Drosophila melanogaster: one gene and its partners. The protein of the gene in region 4 interacts with the protein of the main gene of each other region in a pairwise test. Each region holds a gene or a part of one and is shown on either strand. Other genes may lie near its edges. The genes, in order: Pdk1, CG2017, CG6654 and l(3)neo38.

Evidence for each region.
Region 1: the proteins of l(3)neo38 (region 4) and Pdk1 interact in a two-hybrid assay, tested with the Drosophila melanogaster proteins (one large-scale study listed by BioGRID).
Region 2: the proteins of l(3)neo38 (region 4) and CG2017 interact in a two-hybrid assay, tested with the Drosophila melanogaster proteins (one large-scale study listed by BioGRID).
Region 3: the proteins of l(3)neo38 (region 4) and CG6654 interact in a two-hybrid assay, tested with the Drosophila melanogaster proteins (one large-scale study listed by BioGRID).

The regions. Positions count from the first base shown.
Region 1 is NT_037436.4:127,490-132,449, forward strand, and holds the start of Pdk1 (Phosphoinositide-dependent kinase 1), read left to right. Parts: upstream 1-1,960; 5' UTR 1,961-2,333; coding exon 2,334-2,399; intron 2,400-3,240; exon of another isoform or gene 3,241-4,082; intron 4,083-4,322; exon of another isoform or gene 4,323-4,960.
Region 2 is NT_033777.3:5,857,582-5,864,320, reverse strand, and holds CG2017 (uncharacterized protein), read left to right. Parts: upstream 1-1,915; 5' UTR 1,916-2,043; coding exon 2,044-2,151; intron 2,152-2,418; exon of another isoform or gene 2,419-2,574; intron 2,575-3,016; exon of another isoform or gene 3,017-3,331; intron 3,332-3,916; coding exon 3,917-4,589; intron 4,590-4,800; coding exon 4,801-5,678; exon of another isoform or gene 5,679-5,736; coding exon 5,737-6,009; 3' UTR 6,010-6,238; downstream 6,239-6,739. Other genes in the region: ECSIT, read right to left, coding at 6,421-6,739.
Region 3 is NT_033777.3:15,210,776-15,215,409, reverse strand, and holds CG6654 (uncharacterized protein), read left to right. Parts: upstream 1-1,751; 5' UTR 1,752-1,824; coding exon 1,825-1,944; intron 1,945-2,009; coding exon 2,010-3,147; intron 3,148-3,202; coding exon 3,203-3,864; 3' UTR 3,865-4,133; downstream 4,134-4,634. Other genes in the region: SIDL (shal interactor of Di-Leucine motif), read left to right, coding at 1-71, 320-549; CG4210 (uncharacterized protein), read right to left, coding at 663-984, 1,045-1,120, 1,189-1,240, 1,303-1,377; Mau2 sister chromatid cohesion factor, read right to left, coding at 4,154-4,634.
Region 4 is NT_033777.3:11,776,083-11,780,708, reverse strand, and holds the start of l(3)neo38 (lethal (3) neo38), read left to right. Parts: upstream 1-1,580; 5' UTR 1,581-1,727; exon of another isoform or gene 1,728-1,851; intron 1,852-2,087; 5' UTR 2,088-3,030; coding exon 3,031-3,235; intron 3,236-4,626.

The DNA of each region.
Region 1 (4,960 bases), on a different chromosome or scaffold from region 4:
GAATCGGCGGGTCCATTGATGTGTAACTCTGGGATACCGACGGGTTTAATAATGGGCAACTAAATGAGAGCTCCGAGGGTTCCGAACCGGTTCGTCTGCCAAGCTTAGCTTCCAAGCGGGGGGAAGTCCAGCAATTAGAAAGAAACTGGTGCACAGCCCACCGTTGATGACTAAATCAGCTGGGATTTCGTGAAATTAGCTTTTTATACTAAGCGCTTGGCTGAAAATATATGCAAATGGGATTTTAAAAATATTTTTCAGGCGACATTGTGTCTCGCCGAACCTCGATTGCTGCCCATTAAAAATGCTAATTTCAAATATTTTTTAGCAGAAAGCAAGAAATAAATTAGCCACAAAATGCTAAAAGCAGAGGCCAAATAAAAACGATTTTAACTAAGCCACCGAACTCGCTAAGGGTGAGACAAATTAAATTGAATTTGATTATTATATAAAATAAAATAGGTAAGAAGAAAATTCGCGACCATTTCTAAAATATGCAGTCAAAGTTCATTCGATGAAGACGAATTGTAATTTTCATAGATTTATTTGAGCCTAAACGCCGTTCAGTTTGAATGAGTGCTTATCACAAGTACACAAAAACTAAAGAAATATTACTTATATTGCTAATTGATAAGGTCTTTGAATATTAAATGTGTTTATTAAACTGTGTTATTTAAACTACGCAGCAATTCACAAGTAAGTCTTTAAACAAATTAAGCTAGGAAATTTAAATAATACATAAATGGAAACTCAACCAAATATAGAAAATAACAGGAATAGAACTAATATTTACAATATTTCTTAACAAGATAAAAAACCATAACAGGAACAGAACTAATATTTACAATATTTCTTAAAGAGAAAAAAAAACAAAGTGAGAGAAAAACTTGATGACGAAAGCGTCGGCATCCACGTCAGCAAAGCCAAAGCAACTGCAGTTTCCGCTTCCCCTTAATTTTGTTTTGTTTTCGCTTCGTAGTAAAACGTAAAAACGAGAATAAAACCGTGAGCGGGAGCGGGAGCAGCAAGTGAATTTTTTCACGCTGGGTGGAAAAGGCGCGCGAACGTGACGGAACGCCGGAAAGTTGTGGAACAGGCGATGTGAATGAATTGTGGAACGCGTTTGTGTAGAAGGCCTTACACTTATGCTAATGTGGAACCCAGAGTGCGGATCAACGAACGATCCGTGCGCGAAGAGAGCGGGAATAGTTTAAATTCCAGAAAATGCACATTTGTACACATACATACATACATAATTGCCTTGGAAGTTTACGACAGCGACGTTGTCCACAATTTCATTTTATAGATGGGGGCGTGGCACTGATGCATGATCTTGATGGAATTATGTACCTATGTATGTATGTATGTAAATGTAAGCAAGATTCGTTGCAGTAACAACAAATAAGTGGATGAAAACAAGTGCGTCACTTACTCATTAATAAATAAATAATTAATGGGCGGCGCATTCGAAATGTAAAAGAAAACGCAAATAGCTTGCCCACTCGCGGCAATAACGGAACCGTGACTTGCAAATCGGTGAAATGAATAGGATATGCATAACTGTTTTTTCGAAAGACCTGCAAATAATTCAAGAAAGTTCCAGAAATACCCAAATTTAATAGCTATCCAACATTAGGGTGACAATAACGTGTTTCAACAGATGCAATATATACGCAAAATCAAAGAAAAACAAACAAAACCCGTTAAAAACTAATTATTTAAAAAAGAATACAAAAATATAAATTTAAAGCTAACTTAATAAAAAATAACATAATTTTCCCATTATTCATGTGTCGATTAAAACTCAAATGAAAATTCTTACACTTCTCCGCACTCTTTTTTACCCCATAACTCTCTATCTCTCTTCCAGTTCTCCGCGCTCACGATTTGGTAACTGTGGCCCAATGCCGCCGTTCCCAGTTTAGCGCGCTCTCCTTGCCTTTTCTTTCGCCTTTTCGACTCATTTCGAATCGGAAATTTGACGGGTTCGGTCGTAATCACGGATACAAATTTGACGCCCTGTTGGAAAAACCACAACGTCCAATTTTCCTTTTATCGCGCCAAAAAGAAATGCGAGTAAGACCCGAGTCTTCGTGTATACGTATAATTACCATTTGCAATCACAAAGGTTTTGCAACTGTCGCCGGGCGGTGAAAACTCAAGTGAATAAATATCGCAAAGTGAAGCAAATAAAAAAATATTACAAAAACCGGTAAAACGAAATGAAACTGAAATGAGTGAGGGCAGCAACTTCAAGTGACGAAAGCAATCCGTTTACCGTTGTCTTTGCCTCTTCATCCTCCCCGAGAACGGCGGAGAACGCGAAAAATATCATGAAATGTAAAAGCTGGTCCAACAAAATTAACAACTACGTTGTGCGCAAAATAAAGTCTATCAAGGTAAATAGTGTCTTAAAAAGGTGCGGTGTTTGGCCCTGATACATATATACTTATATTTATTTAAATTTTGATTAAGTGAATATATCTTATGAGGCTTATGAGACTTGTTAAGGTGTTAAAAAATAAGTTTATAGCATAGATATGGGGTAATGCGAAAGTACAATTTGTTAAAGTTGTTTTTAATTAAAATAATTTAGTAAAACTTTTTTTACAAACTACAAGTAATGCTTTCGAGAAAATACCTCCCATCAATTTTATCGTTAAATTACACAAAATTGTTCTTGGAAAAAAAAATTGAATTGGTTGTACAAATTTTTGTTTACAAAATACAAAAGCTGCAAAATAATTTATTGACATGAAATAATGAAATACTCATAAAGCTGTGAAATTTAATGTTTGAGCTATATAGCAAAAAAAAAAAGTATTTTTACTTTTTGCAATTCTTGTTACCAATAAATTTAAATATTTCCGTACATTTCATCTAAAAAATTTCCATTGACAACACATGCTGGTATAATATATAAAGATCAAAGCCATAAACTCCTCACTAAGTGGGCAATAAAATAAGATAATTCAACGACTGTCTGTATAACAACCACTTTAAAAGCTATCTAGATGGAGTTGATTATGAATACATTTTCAGATGCTTATATTACTCGACATAAATAGGCAGTGGATGTGTATAATTATTTTGCAGGCACCCGACAACGAAAATAAAATGCATAAAAAAGTTTAATGAAGCCGCAGGGGTTGACTAAATTTATTTAACAACTGCAGTTCATTGCCTCGCAAATTGCTTGATACTTTAAAAACAACAACAAAAATTCACAGCAAAAAAACACAATGATTCCAGCTGGTTTCTAAACAACAATTTATTGTGGTTTCTTTTACTTTTAATTGCTATCTATTAGCAGCAACCAATAAATGAATTATTTATTTTATTTTCTCTTGCAAGCAGCCAAAAGTAAAATTATGCCCCTCTCTCTCCCGATCCGAGTTCATCACTTTGTCTTCTTTTAGCTGTTTTTATTTTGCAAATAACTTGAGTAGTGGATGGGAAACAACGCAAAGGCCTTTCACTTGCATGTCTGTTGCTCGGTTTGTTGTCATTAGGTTTACTGTTGTTGTTGCACACACTCATCCGCTTACATACCTCGTTTATATACTTATTTACATTTGAAGTTGCCGTCGTTGGTATGTTTTACTACGTATCAGCTTGTCCGCTTTGAGCTGCCCCTTCGCTTTTCAAGCATTTTGTTTTGTCCGCTCTGTTTTTCAGCTATTCCAATTCTCTTCCTTCGTTGCCCTGTGTATGTATTCGTAATCGGGTTCGGATTCTTGTTTATTTTTACACCACTTCTCTTTCTCTTTCGCACGAAAATTCCTCGAATTCTTTTTTATCCATATTTTCCTTTTCCAGCGGGAAAAACGAGTTTTTCCAGCAGCGCCGCATTCTTAGCCTGTCGCCTTGTCTCTTTCCCACTTTTATAGTGTCTCCGCTTCTTGCTTGTTTACAGTTAGGAATGCGGTCGTCTCCCCTCTCTCTCTCTCTCTCTCTCTCTCTCTCACTCTCTCTCTTCAAAAAGAGCGTGCGCTCTCTTTGGCCTTATGTAGTTGTGTGGATTTCGACTGAAACTTGTTTTCGCTTTGCCCCGTCGTGTTTATTTATAAAAAGTCACTGGCAAACAATTACAGTGCAACAATTACGCTCTCAAAAGTGGCGCGCAACTTGTTCGCCTTGTAAAAAAAATTGTGACGCCAGCGGCGACACGACTGCGCTGCTTTGGCCCCATTTAACTGAGAGCGCCGAGGGTTAGCTTGGCGGGGGCGGCAACGCCAAAGAGAGTTCTCTCGGGTGGCGCTCGTCTCCCATCGGTTTCGCTGCTCGAGCCAAATGCTTGGAAGTCAAAGTCTCGCCCGACCATAGTTTCTTATTGGATTTCAAACCAGTCGCTTCGTGCACGCGGCGTTCGACTACGCACACACACACACCCATAGCGCGCTGGCATTGATATACATACACAGGCAAATACACGACGCCCCAAGTTCGTGTGATGTAGTGCTGTAGTGGTGCGATTAAATAATACTCCACAAAAGGCCAAATAAATTACATAAAATCTAAATCGGAATAAAAATAAGTGTATTCTCCCTCCGTGTTGTGTTCAAAGTATTTAACCGATTGTTTTCATTAGTCAAATTAATGTAGTACAACGTATGAGTGTGAGCCAGTTCCTAGAAAAATAAGAGGGCATAAAAAATAACAGACACATACAGCGTCTCGTTTCTTATAAATTTTCCTACTGCGTCGGAATTATTGTCTTGATTATTGTTGTTTCTGGCGAACTTTTGTGATTTGTTTCGAGAAACATACTGCGGCGGTTTCATAATTGTGCAAATCAAGGGAAGCACAATACGAATGTTAAGAATCAAAGCTAAGAATTAAATAAAATTAAAGCCGCACACATACATATACACAGGCACGCGCAGAGTCGAAAAAATACGCGCGCTCGCTCTGTACAGTGTGTGCGTGTACGCGGTGGCTGGCTCTTCTTCTTCATTCG
Region 2 (6,739 bases), 5.9 Mb from region 4:
AGGGGCGACCCCCAAGGTGAAACTAATCTTCCACGACCTGTACCCATTGCGAGGCCGAGTGGCTGGGAGCAGGGCTCTCCAACTCGAAACTCGTTGTTGAATCTGTTTGTCCCGGCTAAAGTGAGAAGAACACATCCCCCGGAAAACATAGCCCCTCCTGCCGCAGACGCACTATTTGAACTGCCCTCCCGCAAACGAGATCAAAGTCGGGCCGACCCGAAAAAAGGCAAAGTTATATTGGACACGTCTTGCGCCATTGCGTGCCCAGTGCTGGTCATTATTTAACTTTTAAACACGCGCCAAAAACAGCACCAGATTTGAATTTAATGGTCACAGCAGTTGCTCCCGCTCCCGCTACCGCTCCGGCTCCACTGGCATTAGCAGCGGGGCCAGCCAACAAGTGAGCAATAAAGAAAAGTTTAGAAAAATATCCCAATCCATGCTGCCGGCCGAATCACCAATCCGGAGTACCCCATCCCAAATGAATGGGTATATAGAACTGGGCACGGATTTGTGCGCACGATAGCGCAAAACGATGACAATAAATGGAAAACTTTTTAATAAGCTAATAAAATGATTTATGCGGGTCGAGCGATAAGAGGGATAAAAGGCACGGAGTTCCACTTCCAGATGGCCATTTGATGGGCCCGATTCCGGCCAATTCCGACAGACAGACACCTCATTGACGAACGCCAACCAGTTGGACCTGAGCACGCACACACACACACACATACACAACGAATGTATTCTTGAGCATTATTTATTGGATATTGAATGGGTCGGCCCAGCTCGCAGGATTGGGGCAGTTCAAGAGGGGAGCGTAGCCCCCACCCCCCCACCACCCTATCATCCCCCTTTCATTGGCAATTGTTATCAAGGCATTAGCACATCGGAAATGCTATACGACTATATCATACTCAAGACAAGGGCTAAACGACTATAAGTGTTCTAACGTTTGTCATATCAGTTGGGCGATTCAGTTCTTGACTTTCTATCGAAAAAACGTAATTGAAAAAAAGAAATGTATATGCTAAGTCATCGATAGCGATTAGTAAAATCAATGTAATGTCATAATGTTTAAATGTAAAAGTTATAGCATCCAGGTAACTGGTAGAGCAAATCGTAAACTTCCTCCAAGTTTATACATATATAGTAAAGGTCCCCGCTGTAGATAACCAAAATCGAGTGCCAGTAGTGCAATTTTAAAACGATCCCCAACAACCTGTAGCATCACGACATCCCCATGATCCATGTCGAGGTCAGCAGATACTATTTTATGAGCCTCAGAGAGGTCAACGATGTACATACATACATGCAAGCCCAAGTCCCGAAAACAGACAGACATACATACATATACACATCATTGTAACTGACTACATATGTAAAAATGCTTAAAATATTTGTGATAAAGTAATAATGTTAATGATAAGGAATAAAACGTAAATATATTAATGAGAATACATTGAGTTTGAATTAAAGCAATTCGAGTTGTATTTTCATTGCTGGGAGGCACAAGGTTTCCTAAATTCTTTTTTTAGCAATCTAAAAACGTTACCATATCTTCACTCATTTGAATGATTTTTTGATACCAATACAAAATTATTTTGTAGCAAAGCAGATGTTTTTGAGCTTGCAAGATAGCTCCATCGAGATTGGAATTAAGTTCTATGCTGGCTAATAAACTTATTTGAGTAAAATTTACCAAAACGAATTCTCAACACTAAAGTACTAAAGTAAAGTATGGAAATGTAGGACATGCAGATGACCGCCTTCGCAACCCCATTTATTGTTAAAAATACGTTACTATTTAAATTTGAAAAATGTGTGCCGTTCACAATGGACGCCCCGTCAGCCAGTGTTGGTAAGGGTGCGCAGCAACTGGATAGGTCAGTGTCCAAAAGGGACTAACGCGTGGCGAGCATAAACATCTGTTTGTCGGAGTCACAAAATGTAGGAAGTTTATGGTTTATAATAATTGATTGGATTGCTGGCGCAACTTTGGCGTCCCCGAAATTTGAAGTGTGTTGTGAGTGCTTAACCCACATGAGTGCAAAATTGCCATGGCAACGTGAATCGAACACGAACAGCAACACCCACACAGAGACCATTGAAGATCCGCGCATTGTGGCGCAGTATTGCATCAGCAACTGCGTAAGTGCAGCACATTGACTCCATTTTTGTTTTGCTGATGAAATCGCAGCGCGATTTTTGTTTCTTGTGAAATTCCGCTCTATGCTTGCCAAGCTTTTGTTTGTTGGTTGCATGAATTCGGTAAACGCGACAGTTACTTCCCGGAATTCAAACGGAAAGGAGCTTTCCGCGAAGCGTCCTCAATCAATTTCGAGATAGAGATAGAGAATAATAACGCAGCTGACGCGGTCAAAACAAAAGCGCTTGTGTAGAAAATCAAATGCGAAGCAAACGCGGCGAGGACAAGACGCGAAAAGCTGTCAAAACTACGCGCCGAAAAAGGAAAGGGTCTGGTCGATCAGAAATCCGCTACGCAACACAGATTGCGTATCTACATAAAACGTAATAATTTAATTGTGTGGGAGTTATCTCACAATTAAGAAGGTTCGTTTTTAAACTAAGTTTCCTTATTTGAACAACAATCGTAGAACTAAAGAGGTGTGTTTGAATTGTGGAAAGCCAAGCATTAATTGTTGAATAAAATTATCAAACGTCGCGGCTTCGCATCAAAATCGTGAAAAAGTTAACTTTTATAGTTCCAGTGTCGAAGGACGTAATGGCGTGTGACGTAATTAAACATTGTATATCCTGCCTTCTAATTGCAAAAATAAAGTAATTAGAATTAAAACCTATAAATTTACCATTTATCGTTAGCTTTAGTAATTAAATAGGTTCGTAATAACATCCCGCATTAAATATTTAGGTAACTTTCTTCTTGTGGAAATTCACTAAGTTAATTTTTTTAAGCTCAACCCCCACTTGCTAAACAAAAAATACGTTCCATGAAAGAACTCAAACGCCCTAGGGTAAGGTATTGCGAAAGCTTTTGAAGTATTCAGGTGCTTGTTCTTCGGTCAACAAAGCAAAACAATCGGGAGCAGGTTATAAACAAAATCGAAAGGCACCCAAAAGCGGAGAGCACAAGTACGCACACAACTACGAACTACAACTACAAAGCACAGCACTCAGAACCCAGATAGCCGAACGAACAACAAATTCGACCTGGGCAAATGAAAAGCGCAGCCAAAATCGATATTTTGTGCCAGCGTCGCGCGCAAATAGGAGCTGCTTTAGCGCTTAATATCTCGAATAAACTCGAGCGGATTGGTTTGATTAGTGAGCCAAATATAGGGATTATCTGGTAAGATGTTTGGAACTTGTCGTATTATCGACCTTCTGTTCCACCTGCCCCCGCGCGTGGGCTCGAAACAACGGCCAGAGTCGTGGCAAACATAAACAAGCATTTTCAAGGTCGCTGCAAGTCAAAGACGGCCAAAAAAACAAATGGGGAAAATTTCAGTTTTGATGGATACACATAAGCAAACGGTTCCATCAAAAAGATACATAGAAGTTGAAAAATAATTGTTTTTAAAGTGAAACAAATGACGTGGTGTCGAAATAAAATTAAAAAAACTTTAGTACAATATTAAAAGTTATTTCAACCCAATTATATTGGGTAATTCTCAGACTAAATACAGTACAGTATGAGTAAACAAATCAAATAATATTTACTTATGCATGTATCTCATTGCTATTATTTCAGCCACGGCTGTTCGAAAATCTGTATGTATGTACATAAGTATGTACATATGTACATTTTCGATGTCGCAATTGGCCCAAAAAATGTTTTCTTCTCAAGACAAAGAGTTCCTTTGTCTAAACAGAATTTTTACCATTTACCTCATCTGAATTTTGTATTTATATGATCCACGCTTCCCTTTTGCAGCAACACATTATGGAGTCCTTCCTGAGTCTCTTTGATCCCAATCAGGACGACGGCTTCGAGGAAGAGCCCGAGCTCAATGGCAACAGCAGCGGCGGCGGAAGCAGCAGCAGCGACTATGAGACGGACGCCAATGCCAACGAGTGCAGCGTAGTGAGCGGGATGCCCACCGAGCGGGGCAACCTGATCTTCGACTTCGAGCAGGGAATGCTGCCACCAGAGCCGCAGCTCGGAAATGTGGAGTACAAGCTGAAGCTGGTCAACCCGTCGAAGCAGCGATTCGAGCACCTGGTGACCCAGATGAAGTGGCGTCTGCGCGAGGGAAACGGCGAGGCCATCTACGAGATTGGAGTATCCGACGCCGGCTATCTGCAGGGACTCAGCGACAAGGACATGAATGCCTCGCTCACCACGCTCAAGCAGATGGCCCACAGCCTAGGAGCCAGTACCTCAGTGCTGCGGCGAAAGACCATCGCCGCCCGACGCGCCGTCGCCGAGGTACTGGTCCGTAAGATCCCCGACGACCAGCACAACATCGAGGTTCGGGTGGCGGTGCTCGGCGGAGCTGATGCAGGCAAATCCACTTTGCTGGGCGTGCTTACACAGGACGAGCTGGATAACGGACACGGCCGGGCGCGGCTCAATATGTTTAGGCACATGCACGAGATTCAGTCTGGTAATATGTCGTTATAAGCACTAAACACAGATATAAATTAAATTAAGATGTTTGGCATCCATTTTAAATTGTCATCAATAAGGAATATATCAGTTGTACTACATTATTCATACATCTCTCGTTTACAAACTTTTTTTTAAATTATATTTATCACTCACAAAGTCCGGTTTGTTTGCTTGAAAATTACCAATTTGCTCCTCTTTTCCTTAAGGCCGCACCTCCTGCATCTCCCACGAGACGCTTGGCTTCGATGCACTGGGTAATGTGGTCAACTACAAGTACAATGAGATGATGACGGCAGAGGAGATTAGCGACAGGTCCAGCAAGCTGGTTACCTTCATGGATCTAGCCGGACACCGACGCTACATGCGCACCACCGTGCAGGCACTGAGTGGATACTCACCCCACTACGCCATGCTGGTGGTATCGGCGGGCAGCGGTTGCAACGACACCACCGAGGAGCACTTGGCTATCGTGCGGGCACTGGACATGCCCTTCTTTGTATTGGTCACGAAGACAGATATCACATCGCCGGACGCGACGGTACAGGAGTTGTGCAACCTGCTCACCACCATTGGGTGCCGGAAGGTTCCCTTTGTGGTGACCAACACGGATGAGGCCATCTCCGCCGGGTCAAACCAGATCTCCGAGAACATTGTGCCCATCTTTTGCGTATCGAATGTGACCGGCACGGGACTCAACCTAGTCACAAAGTTTCTGTACGTCCTTTCGCCCGGAATCAGCAACGCCGAGAAGGATCGACTCGAGCAGGAGTCTTGCGAGTTCCAGGTGGACGAGATCTTCCGGGTCTCTGACGTCGGACCCGTTGTGGGCGGTCTACTTGTCCAGGGCGTGCTGACCGAGAATATGGCAATGAAGATTGGTCCGCTTCCCGATGGTAGCTTTCATCCCGTTACTGTTAATACTATCCACCGAAACAAGGCTCCTTGCCGAGTTGTCCGAGCTGGTCAGAGCGCTTCGCTGTCTTTCAGTATGGATCAGGATGTGCCCACGCTACGAAGTGGCATGGTTCTTTTGGGTGATATTGGAAATAGTCTGGATGAGCCCTACGGGACCTTCTTCTTCCAAGTGAGTTGCTAGTTTTCATTTATCGTTACCAAATAAATACATCAACTTCCCTTTGCAGGCCAAGGTGTCCGTGCTGTTCCACGCCACGGCCATCTATGTCGGCTTCCAAACCACAGTCCACATAGGCAGCATTCGCCAGACGGCCGTCATTCGGGGCATTATGGGCGGCGAGCGACTGGGCACAAACGATTGTGCTTCGGTGATGTTCGAGTTCGTCGGCCACCCGGAGTACGTGCGTCCTGGAATGCGCATCCTGTTCCGCGAGGGCACCAGCAAAGGAATCGGAGTTGTCACGCAGGTGTTTCCGGTCAACAAGACAGGCATAAAGTAGAGAAGCGGGCCAGATGGATAGTTCCAATGACATATCTATATATCTCAAACAAAGATGACATGTACATATACTTAATTAGCAATTAGAGGGAGGCGTTAAATCTTAGGCAGATCTTCTGTACACTTAGTTTCGGGTTCTGTGATTTTTCGTTTAAGCTCGGCTCACAATCGGATGTTGTGAGTAATCCTTCTCAATTAACCTTATTTCATTAAAATCCACCCCAAAATGCATACAATGTTGCTTTCAATTCGCGTCCGAGCCAAAGAGTATAAATAATTACCGAAGTATTAATTTTTTTCCTTCTAGCAGATGTACATATATATGTACATATGATCAAAACCGACTAACTTTAAGCAACATTTACCATCAATTCTATGGTATACAAAGACGAAAAAGTGCTCAACAATTTGTTTATTTCTGTCTACTGCTAATGTGCTCATCTTGACTACTGTTATCACTTGTTGCCGGGACACTGGCGCCACCTTCAATTTCCTCCGCCTTGGCTGGCACTTCGGATGTGAACCGGAAGAGGACGGGCACCTCTCCTATGGAGGGATTTCCGTTCGCTTCCAACAGGCGAATCCACGAGAGCAATGAGTCCTTTGTGGAGGTGCCTGTGGCACAGATGGCCATAATGGTTCCGTCGTCCTGTTGGTGGACAGAGCGCAGCTTTCCCAGCTGGTTGTGTCGCCTTGGTGGAGCACGACCAAAGAAGGGTACTTCGATGTGG
Region 3 (4,634 bases), 3.4 Mb from region 4:
TCCCTACACGGATCTCATGTACGAGGTGCTCAACGATCAGAATCTGTGGGCCGTTTGCGGTCGCTCAGCGGGTAAGTTGGATTCTCTTTACTACTCTCTCTCTTTCTTTGCTTATGATTTAATTCTGTTTCTCTACACACGATTCACTTTTGCATTTTAAGATATGGGTAAGTTCCTTGGAATAGGACACACGTAGCACTAACTAGATTTGCCCTTGCTTTTGATTGGAAACATTTAACACTGAAAAAGAAAATTGGCTTACTTCGATGAACCAACAGTCTGTACTTGTTGACTAACTAATTTTTACTTAACCTTTTAGGTGTCGTATCCATGAAGGACGTCGACAGTCATTCCATATCGCTGGATGTAATGCCGCTGAGCACCGGCTTTCTACCAATGCCCAGCATTCGATTATCCAAGTATACTGCCGGTGGCAAAAGTAAAACCGATGGCCACTCCAAGGTGCATCCCTTTCCGCCCGGTCAAGTCTACAACTCCACGAAGAGCATGCAGATCCATGTCATCGCAAGTGTGGCGGGGGATCAATGAGAAGCCAAACGAATTAATTGCAATGTACTCATAGCACATATGGCCCATGGCCAAGTATTATTAATTATTTATCGCCCTACTATAAAGTAGTAAAAATTGAAAATCAAATCAAGTTAAGATTTTTTTGCCCTCAGATCCGCGGCCAATTTGGCCAGTTGTTGCTCCTCCACGCGGTAGTAGTGCCAGCCCTCTTTATCTGTCAAATCCACGGCACCAAGACTTTCGTAGAACTTGCGTGCAGGATTCCATTCCAGTACATTAAACTCCAGGCGAGGGCACTGAAGCTCTACAGCCCGCGATGCAACCTCCAAGAAGATTCGCTTTCCGGCGCCGCGTTTACGGTGCTCGGGGCGGACATAGATGTCCTCGACGAAGAAGTACCGTCCCTGCCACGTTGAGTATGCCTTGTAGCAAATGGAGTACCCAATCGCCTGACTAGAATAGGAGAACAAGCCCACAAGTTAATCAGGTCATGCCAAGAACTACAGCACTTACTCAGTATCGTTGTCTACAAGCACATAGACTTCACAATACTCCTGGCCACCAGTGAGTCCTGCGTCTCGTTTAAGATCTGTCATATTACAATCCATTACTTTACCATTATTTCATTACTATGGTAAGGGTTTCGCCATCTCTTACCTTCCTCTGTTAGCTGGGGACCATTGCTCATCTTCTCAAAGTCAGCCAGTTCCTGCAGATCAATTCAAAAGTATCTCAAATTGGTATTAAAATAGGAATCTTATAAAACTCAACTTGAATCATGGAGAGCACATCTTTAATATCTTCAGCTAGAGCACGCCGGAATGTAAACTCTCCGGATTTCGACATAGTGGGAAATCTTTATAACCTGTGTTTTTCTGATTATGGTCAAAAGAGCTTATCTTTTGTCGAAACAATTCTAATCTATAGAGATGAGCCGAACTCTCGTGATCACAATTTAATATAACTCAATATCGATTGGGAAAAGAATTATTTGTTGTTAATAAGTAAAAAAATTAGATGAAACAAGAATAAGCCCAGATTCTTGTATATATACGATTCACATTTGAAATAATTTTATTTCAATGCACTTATCGCCATAAAATTAGATTATTTAATACTCTTCTTTACTCATTAGAATTATTTTTTGAATTGCGCGAAGGCCGCCAACAGCATTAAAGGTGTGACCAGGTGCACTTGAAATGCATCGGTATATTCAGCGTAACAAACTTCAGCCATACTGCATTTATTTAATTGTTTTATTTTGTTTCTGCATTTGACCGATTGCGTCGCGAAATGGATGTGGACAAGATCTGTCTTACCTGCCTGAGTTCCACGGGACCACTCCTGTCCATCTACGACGGCGGATCCGGCAGCTGCCTGGCGGACATGATCCGGGAGTTCACAAAAACCAAGGTGAGTTGCCTTCGCCGAGTGATCCTGATTTCCATGTTAATCTCGATTTAATTCGCGTTTTCAAGCCCCGCCGCAACGATAATCTGCCCGAGAAGGTGTGCCTAAGCTGTTTGAGTGAAATCTCCAATTGCTATACCTTCAAGATCAAGTGCGAGAACTCCAGTCGCACCCTGCGCCAATTGCTGCCGAATGCGTTGCCGGAGGAGCCCGATAGCAAGGTGTCTATCAGTTGTCCAGTGGCCACGACGGACCAGGCTGTGCAGACCACTAGCTGGGAGCCGGACAGATGCACAGCCTCCGTGCAAACGGACGCAGTGACTACCACAGACGCCGAACAGAATACCAGCCTGATTAAGTCAACGATTTCAGTGGACCTGGACTACGAAGGCGAGGGCGAGGTATTCGATTACGAGCTGCCGGATGAGCCCGTCGAAAAGACCACCAGCCTCATCCTGCAGGTCCAGGGGAACTTGAAGGACGAAAAGGAAGTTGTGTTTACCCAAACCAATGTTATTTACGAAGGCGACGACCACGAGCTGGAACAGCAGATCAGGGAATGTAACCTGGCCATCTTCGAAGGTGTCGATAACGAGGCGGAGATCATCACAGTAACCGCTCCGCAGGTAACCACCAGAAAGAGCGCTGCCAAGCTTCTAACGCAGCAGGAAAACGATAAGCATCAGACTCCTGTGGGTTCTAAGGAGGAAGCACGCGAATTAGAGAAGGAACAAGTACCTCAGTCGGCTAAGCGCACCTCACGGCGTCGCGGAGTTGTCAAGCAGGATGTACCGGCTACACCGCCGTCAGATGCAGAGCCTTCCCCCAAACAGCATCGGTTAGGAACACAGCGAAAACTCAGCGCGCCAAGAGCGGGAACAGTAAACGGGCCAAGCACAACGTCAGGAGCAGCTACTACCCCTGAGCTCAAATATCACTGTGATCGTTGCAATGCGGGATTCGCGGTGGAGAAATCGTTGATGATCCACAGACGCCAAAAGGGCTGCATTAATCGCAACTACAAGTGCAATGAGTGCGAAAAGGTCTTCGTGTCGCCGGATCACTTGGCGGAACACCAGGCCAGTCATGGTGCCCACAATTGCCCGGAGTGTGGAATACGCTGTGATTCCAAGGAGGCACTTAGCAAGCACATGGTGCAGGGCCACAAGCGGAATCTGCGGAATCAGTGCAATATCTGTCAGAAAGGTAAGATAACAAAGAGTGGTCGAAAATCCTATTTAATTGTCTCTTAATATTGTAGTATTCACCATGCTGTCCACGCTGCGTGACCACATGCGCATCCACACCGGCGAGAAACCCTTTGTGTGCAATATCTGTGGCAAGAGCTTTACACAGAATGCCAATCTGCGCCAGCACAAGCTGCGTCACTCGGAGACAAAGAGTTTCAAGTGCGAGCTGTGCCCGCACTCGTTTGTTACCAAGGCGGAACTCACCTCTCATGCACGCACCCACACCGGCGACAAGCCCTTCGAGTGTGAGGTGTGCTTGGCCAGATTCACCACTAGTTGCTCCCTGGCCAAGCACAAACGAAAGCACACTGGCGAACGGCCATACGCCTGCGATCTCTGCCCCATGAGATTCACTGCCCTCAATGTGCTAAAGAACCACCGAAGGACGCACACAGGTGAGCGGCCGTACGTCTGTCCCTTCTGCTCGAAGACCTTTACGCAGCGGGGTGACTGCCAGATGCACCAGCGTACACATCAGGGCGAGCGGATCTACATTTGTCCGGTGTGCAATGAGGAGTTCAAGTCGATGCCCGAGATGCGATCACATCTGGCCGGCCACGAGCAGCACGACAAACGCCTGGTGCACTTCACATTTCTAAGCAACAAGGAAAACGGAAGCGGGGCCCTTGAAGAGGAACTTAACGAGATGACCGAGTCTGCGCTTATGCTATAAATCAATGTAGAAGCTGTGCAAGCAAGGCGGCTTTTGTAAAGGTGGTTGAGTTTGCCTAATACCCAAGACGGATCCTTACTTTTAATTGTAATAATGATTATAATCCTAAGTTGAACGACCCAACTCAAATGCGCACAACTCATCCGCTTTACATTTCCGTCTACTCTTTCCCTCGGGAACACAGTTTATGACAAAATTCACAACTTTAGAACATCTTTAGTCTTAACTTAGTCGCTAGGTCGTAGATAAAAATAAAAGCTTAAAGTTACATTGCATAATCATCTCATTGCTAGTAGAACTGACCGTATTGCCCCGCCGGCTGCATGGCTGTCGATGTGGAGGCGATGACGGGGACTGAGGCTGTAACGGAGGACTCTGGCATGAGCAGGACGGGAGCAGCCGGCGGACCACTCGTCACTGGCGGATCGCCCTGGAACCAGTTGACGAGTTCGTGATGCGCACTTTGGACGCACTTGCGCTGGTCTGCAATCAGGTTCTCCGAGTATTTAACGTGGTTAGCATAAGCATCTTTTTCATGCTGCACATCCTTTGACATACGATGCAGGTCCTTTAGTATTGCCGATCCCCACAGCTGGACGTGGATGTCGGGTATCTTACTGGCCAGTTGCATGGCCGGCGTCACCATGTTCATGCTTTCCTTTGAGTTTCCGATGCTGAGAAAGACGTGCGATAGCAAAACCAACGAGCAGCTGGTCAGTCGGTTGAGGTCTTCGGCGTTGGCCATTTTCAGAGTTTCACGCAGAAAGCGT
Region 4 (4,626 bases):
AATTGGAAAATGTGCATATAAACTCTAGATAACACATGTAACAGTTGCAATTGCTCGAAAATCAAGCTAAACAAAGCATTGCATTCAAAGATTCAAGCGCGGCAGAAAGAGAGAAGACGAGAGAACGAGCAAGTGAGTGAGAGACGAAACAAGGAGAATGTGAGAGAACGTAAAAAACTCCAACCCTCTGTATTAAACGAGTAGAAGACAAGACTGCAACAGGAAAAAACAAGAATGAGAAAAGACATACAGACATGCACACACAGGCGCTTATGCAAGTGCACGTGTATATGTGAATTAACACATAAAAATTAAGGTGCAGTCGAATCGACTTGCCGGTCTCCTGCGCATTTATTTTGTTACTTAATAATGTTAATATTATAAATAGAGATTGCTTAAATTTATTAAAAAAAGAAGTCATACGCATATTATTATATCTCTAGGTTATAGAAATATTTCCGTTAATTAAGCTTATGTAAATGGGGGTATATATGTATGTACATATATATGTATGTACATACAAGTATTTATCTGTCATCAAAATTCATAATGAAGAGGGATCACTAATTGAAAATGGGTCGAAACTCCTAGGGGGAGTTATTTTACCGATCTCGAACCCCTAGATGTGGGTTTGGAAAACATGAAAACACTTGCAAGAAGGCAGGAGAACAGAGGCAGAAGCGGAATCAAAAAAAGAACTTGTCTTAGTTCCACGGCCTGCTTTCTTTCGCCGCTGGACTCACTTTCATTAATACAACATACAGCAGAGGCAGAATTGAATGCAACGAGAGCAATGCGCTCGAGAACGCTCTGCTCTCTCGGCCTCTCCTTTCCCTTCGTCTACACATGTCCGTGGGCAAACAGATCCAGATACATGCACACAAGCATATAGCCAAACATAGATACTTGAAAACACATCGTACATACGCCGCTACAAACTGACATATTCACATGTAAACGTATAAGTGCACAGCCATACCACACAACCCCAAAAAGTTGGAAAACCAAATAAAAATACAAGGCGCATTGTATGTGCGTTTTTCTTGTGGACACTCTACGTCGATCTATGAGTACCCTTTTTGCAAGTTAATAAGAAATTTCATTATGATTGTTTCGAGTCCTAAAGGCTATATTCAAACCCAGATATAATGTAATATTTTTAAAAAATGTTCTTCAACAAGGTAGCCATTATCAGGAAATATATTAAAAGCAGGTTATCCTTTTACCCTCCAAAGAACTACAATAGTAGTTTTAGTAGTTTAGGGCATCCAAAGTGATCAAGATCCAGAATTTTGTTATGCAAATAAATTTATTCCCTACCATTAAAATACATAAATGCAATCTTAATGGCCCTTTCTGCTGTGCCTAAACCAAATCCAGATATTCAAAAAGTCATCCTGGTCGACGTTGTCAATACATTTGTTGTTGCCTCGACGGCGGTCACAAAAAGTAGCTCATCTCTCGCTGGAAACCAGTTTTTATGCTTCGCTCCCAACCGGTTTTCATCCTGATAACTTACAGCGAATTTCGTGGCTCGTCTCACTGCGTGTCTGGCTATGAGGTTCGGATCAGCTCGGTATCGGCTTCAGTCCCAGCATAAATTGCACTTCGCCTGCACGGATCGCGCATGAATATTCTGCCCAGCAATCTGGCCAAGTGACCAAGCCAATTTCGGGAGCAGGGGCCTGGGACCAGTGTCATATGCCCGACACTCGGTGCAGCGAAATGTAAGGAACGTTCAAATAAACGCGCATTTTCCAGAGAAGTAGAAAAACTTCCACCCTCAAAGCGGCACACAGCGCACAAACATACAGACAGTCGTACAAACACACAGCGAACTAATACAGACATGTAAGAATGCTGCAGTCGTGCAATTGGTTGGTAGACGAATAGTTGCTACCCAGTAAATGCGGGGGGTCATTGCCAATGCTTAACATGATCTTGGGAATAATTAAAAAAAATATATTTAACAAGAGGAGCGCTAAAAGGGGTGTAAAATTATCATTAGCAATCGGTTGATTTAAAAACATTCTATTTATTATATGTATTAAATAATTTGAAAAACTAATTAAACGATCAACTTATAGGTAAAATACCCATCTAAACTACCGATAAAGGTAACCATGAGAGATTGGATGAAAACGAGTGCCATTAGCCCTCTAACGAAATATAAAAACTAAAAACCATCTAAACCATAAGCGAGGAAAAGGGGTGCGAATACCTCCCAACCGATATACCCAGCGTGCCTCTGGGCACTGTCACTGTCATTTGCGTCGCAGCGCTGCCGCCGTCCGCGTCCGCGTCGCTTTGCCTGGCCCAGTGTTTCCGCTTTCTTTCGCCTCGTTGTAATGTTACTTTTAGTTTGATGTCGGAGCCTCGACGAGCCGGTCGTAAGCGAAATCGTAAGCGAGACTTTAGTGCGATTCCGCTCCGTTCCGCCGGTTGTGTGTGCGTGCTTAGTTCGAGCTGAGGCGAAGCAGAAGCAGAATCGGAATCAGAATCCAGCGGAATCGAGAATCAAAATCGAAACCGAAAGTGGTTCTCCGCGTGTGCGAGCTAGTGTGTGTGTGTGTGTACGTGTTGTGTTTGGGCCCGCTTTTCTGCTTTTCTACCCCCGAAAAAGCAAAGCACAGCATAAAACTGTGCGCTCGTAAGCGCGTACGTGTGTCTATGTGCCTCTGTGTGAGTGCTAGTGTATGAGTGCGACCAGGGGAAAGGAGGCAAAGAAAAGAAAACCAACCCCCACCAGCGACGGCGGAGAACAGGAAAACAACAACAGAAGGCACACAACCAGCGCACCACCACCATCATTACCATTACCGCCACCACCCACTACAACACTTCGTCATCGTTTCGCGTTGTGCAGAAAATAATTACAAAAAAGAAAAGAAATAGAATTGCAAGTAATATTAGCGACCGATCGAGTTTTAGTGCTAAAGCGATTCGAAAGATTGTCTTGCTTAAACCAAAAGGGCCCCTCGAGGCCCTAGAACTACTATCCATTACCCCGCCGATCATCCCGATCCTGACATGATGAACTTCTCCGCGTTCGGCGGCCCCTTCTCCGGCATCCACCAATTTGCCGCTAAATTCGACGCCCAGACGCCGGGCGCCTTCGGCACGCCCCCCGCGGCTGCCGCGAATGCAGCAGCCGCAGCGGCAGCGGCCGGCACCGATAACCATGTGCAGCGATATCAGACCAATGGCAATCACTTTAATCAGAATGTGCCCAACGGTAAGTGCATCTGCCCCACCACTACACTATACTATACAACATTTACAATGTGGCTACACATACGGACAGACAATCGCCTGCAATGCACATGCAGGCACATGTGTCTGTATAACATAATCACTAAAAATTTATTTTATTTTTATCGATTTATTTTCGCCCGCTGCGGGCAGCGACGCCGGCGTCAAAGCGTCAGGGGGTATACACTCTCACTCGAGCAGCGACAGTGGCGGTGGTGGTGGGGAGACAGAGTCGTTGACAGAGGCAGTGGCAGAGGGGGTCGGCTACTGCCTCGCCTAATGCCCTACACACAGAGGGTCTTGTTTTGGGGCAAAGGGCACTACTCTTGTTGGAATGGCAACTTCTGGATAGCCTTCTTTTTCAAAAATAAACTAAACGGGCTGCTGATAGTCATCAAAAACTAACGGGTACTTCTTGCAATAACTTATGATTAAGATCATCATAAATGAGAATAGTAAAACGTAAAAAATATACAACCTCTAATTTCGGTGAATAACACCTCTTGATTGTCCAATTGGTTCATATTTTAGTATTCATGACGGCAGGAAAAAGCAAGTAGAGTAAGCAAAAATATTTAAATGAAATTAATACAAATTGCTTATAGCTGTATTATTTTACAATAATATTCTGGAGTTCACGAACAAAGAGGTTTATTGATCTCAACATAAAGTTTGATTTGACCTTCTGTTTAGCATACTTTGCTTCAAACAAATCGTAGGACCTTATGACAATCCTATGAATAATTCTCAATAGTTTCAATTCTCTGAAGCTTAGTTAAAATTTCGTTTCCAATACTCAGCTAAAAAAAAAGTCCCACTTGAAACTCGAACAATACTTTCCTTGAATTCCCAGCGAAAGGTGGCTTCCATCTGGATCTACTTACTGACATTCGCATAAAGACATGTGTGAGTGTAAGCGGGTTTTCCACCCCCATCTACGAAATTCTCGCTTTCTGGCTAGCAAAGACATCTTCTTCAGGCAATTTGTAAACCGCACTACAATTTTTTGGGGGTTGGTTGGCGGGTTGGAGCGACTTAGTACGAGTACGAGTATACCCTGTCATCAAAGCAGAATTTAACGATTTTTTCGTCGTTGTTTTTGTTTTGCGCTCTTTTTATACGAATATTCCGCTCTATGTTTTGAGTCATTACCACCCACCCCCAAGTGGGTGTAACCTGTGTGTGTGTGAGTGTAAGCTATGGCTGTTGTTGTTTTGCGTGGCTTGAAAATGCAATGAACTCAAATAACTTTTGAATTTGCTGCATTTCACTTTGTTTTTTTGTAGGGGTGGGTTTCACCGCTCTCTTCAGCTACTTAAGCACATACATAGAAATACAATTAAATGCATATACGTATGTGTGTTGGGCGAGAGT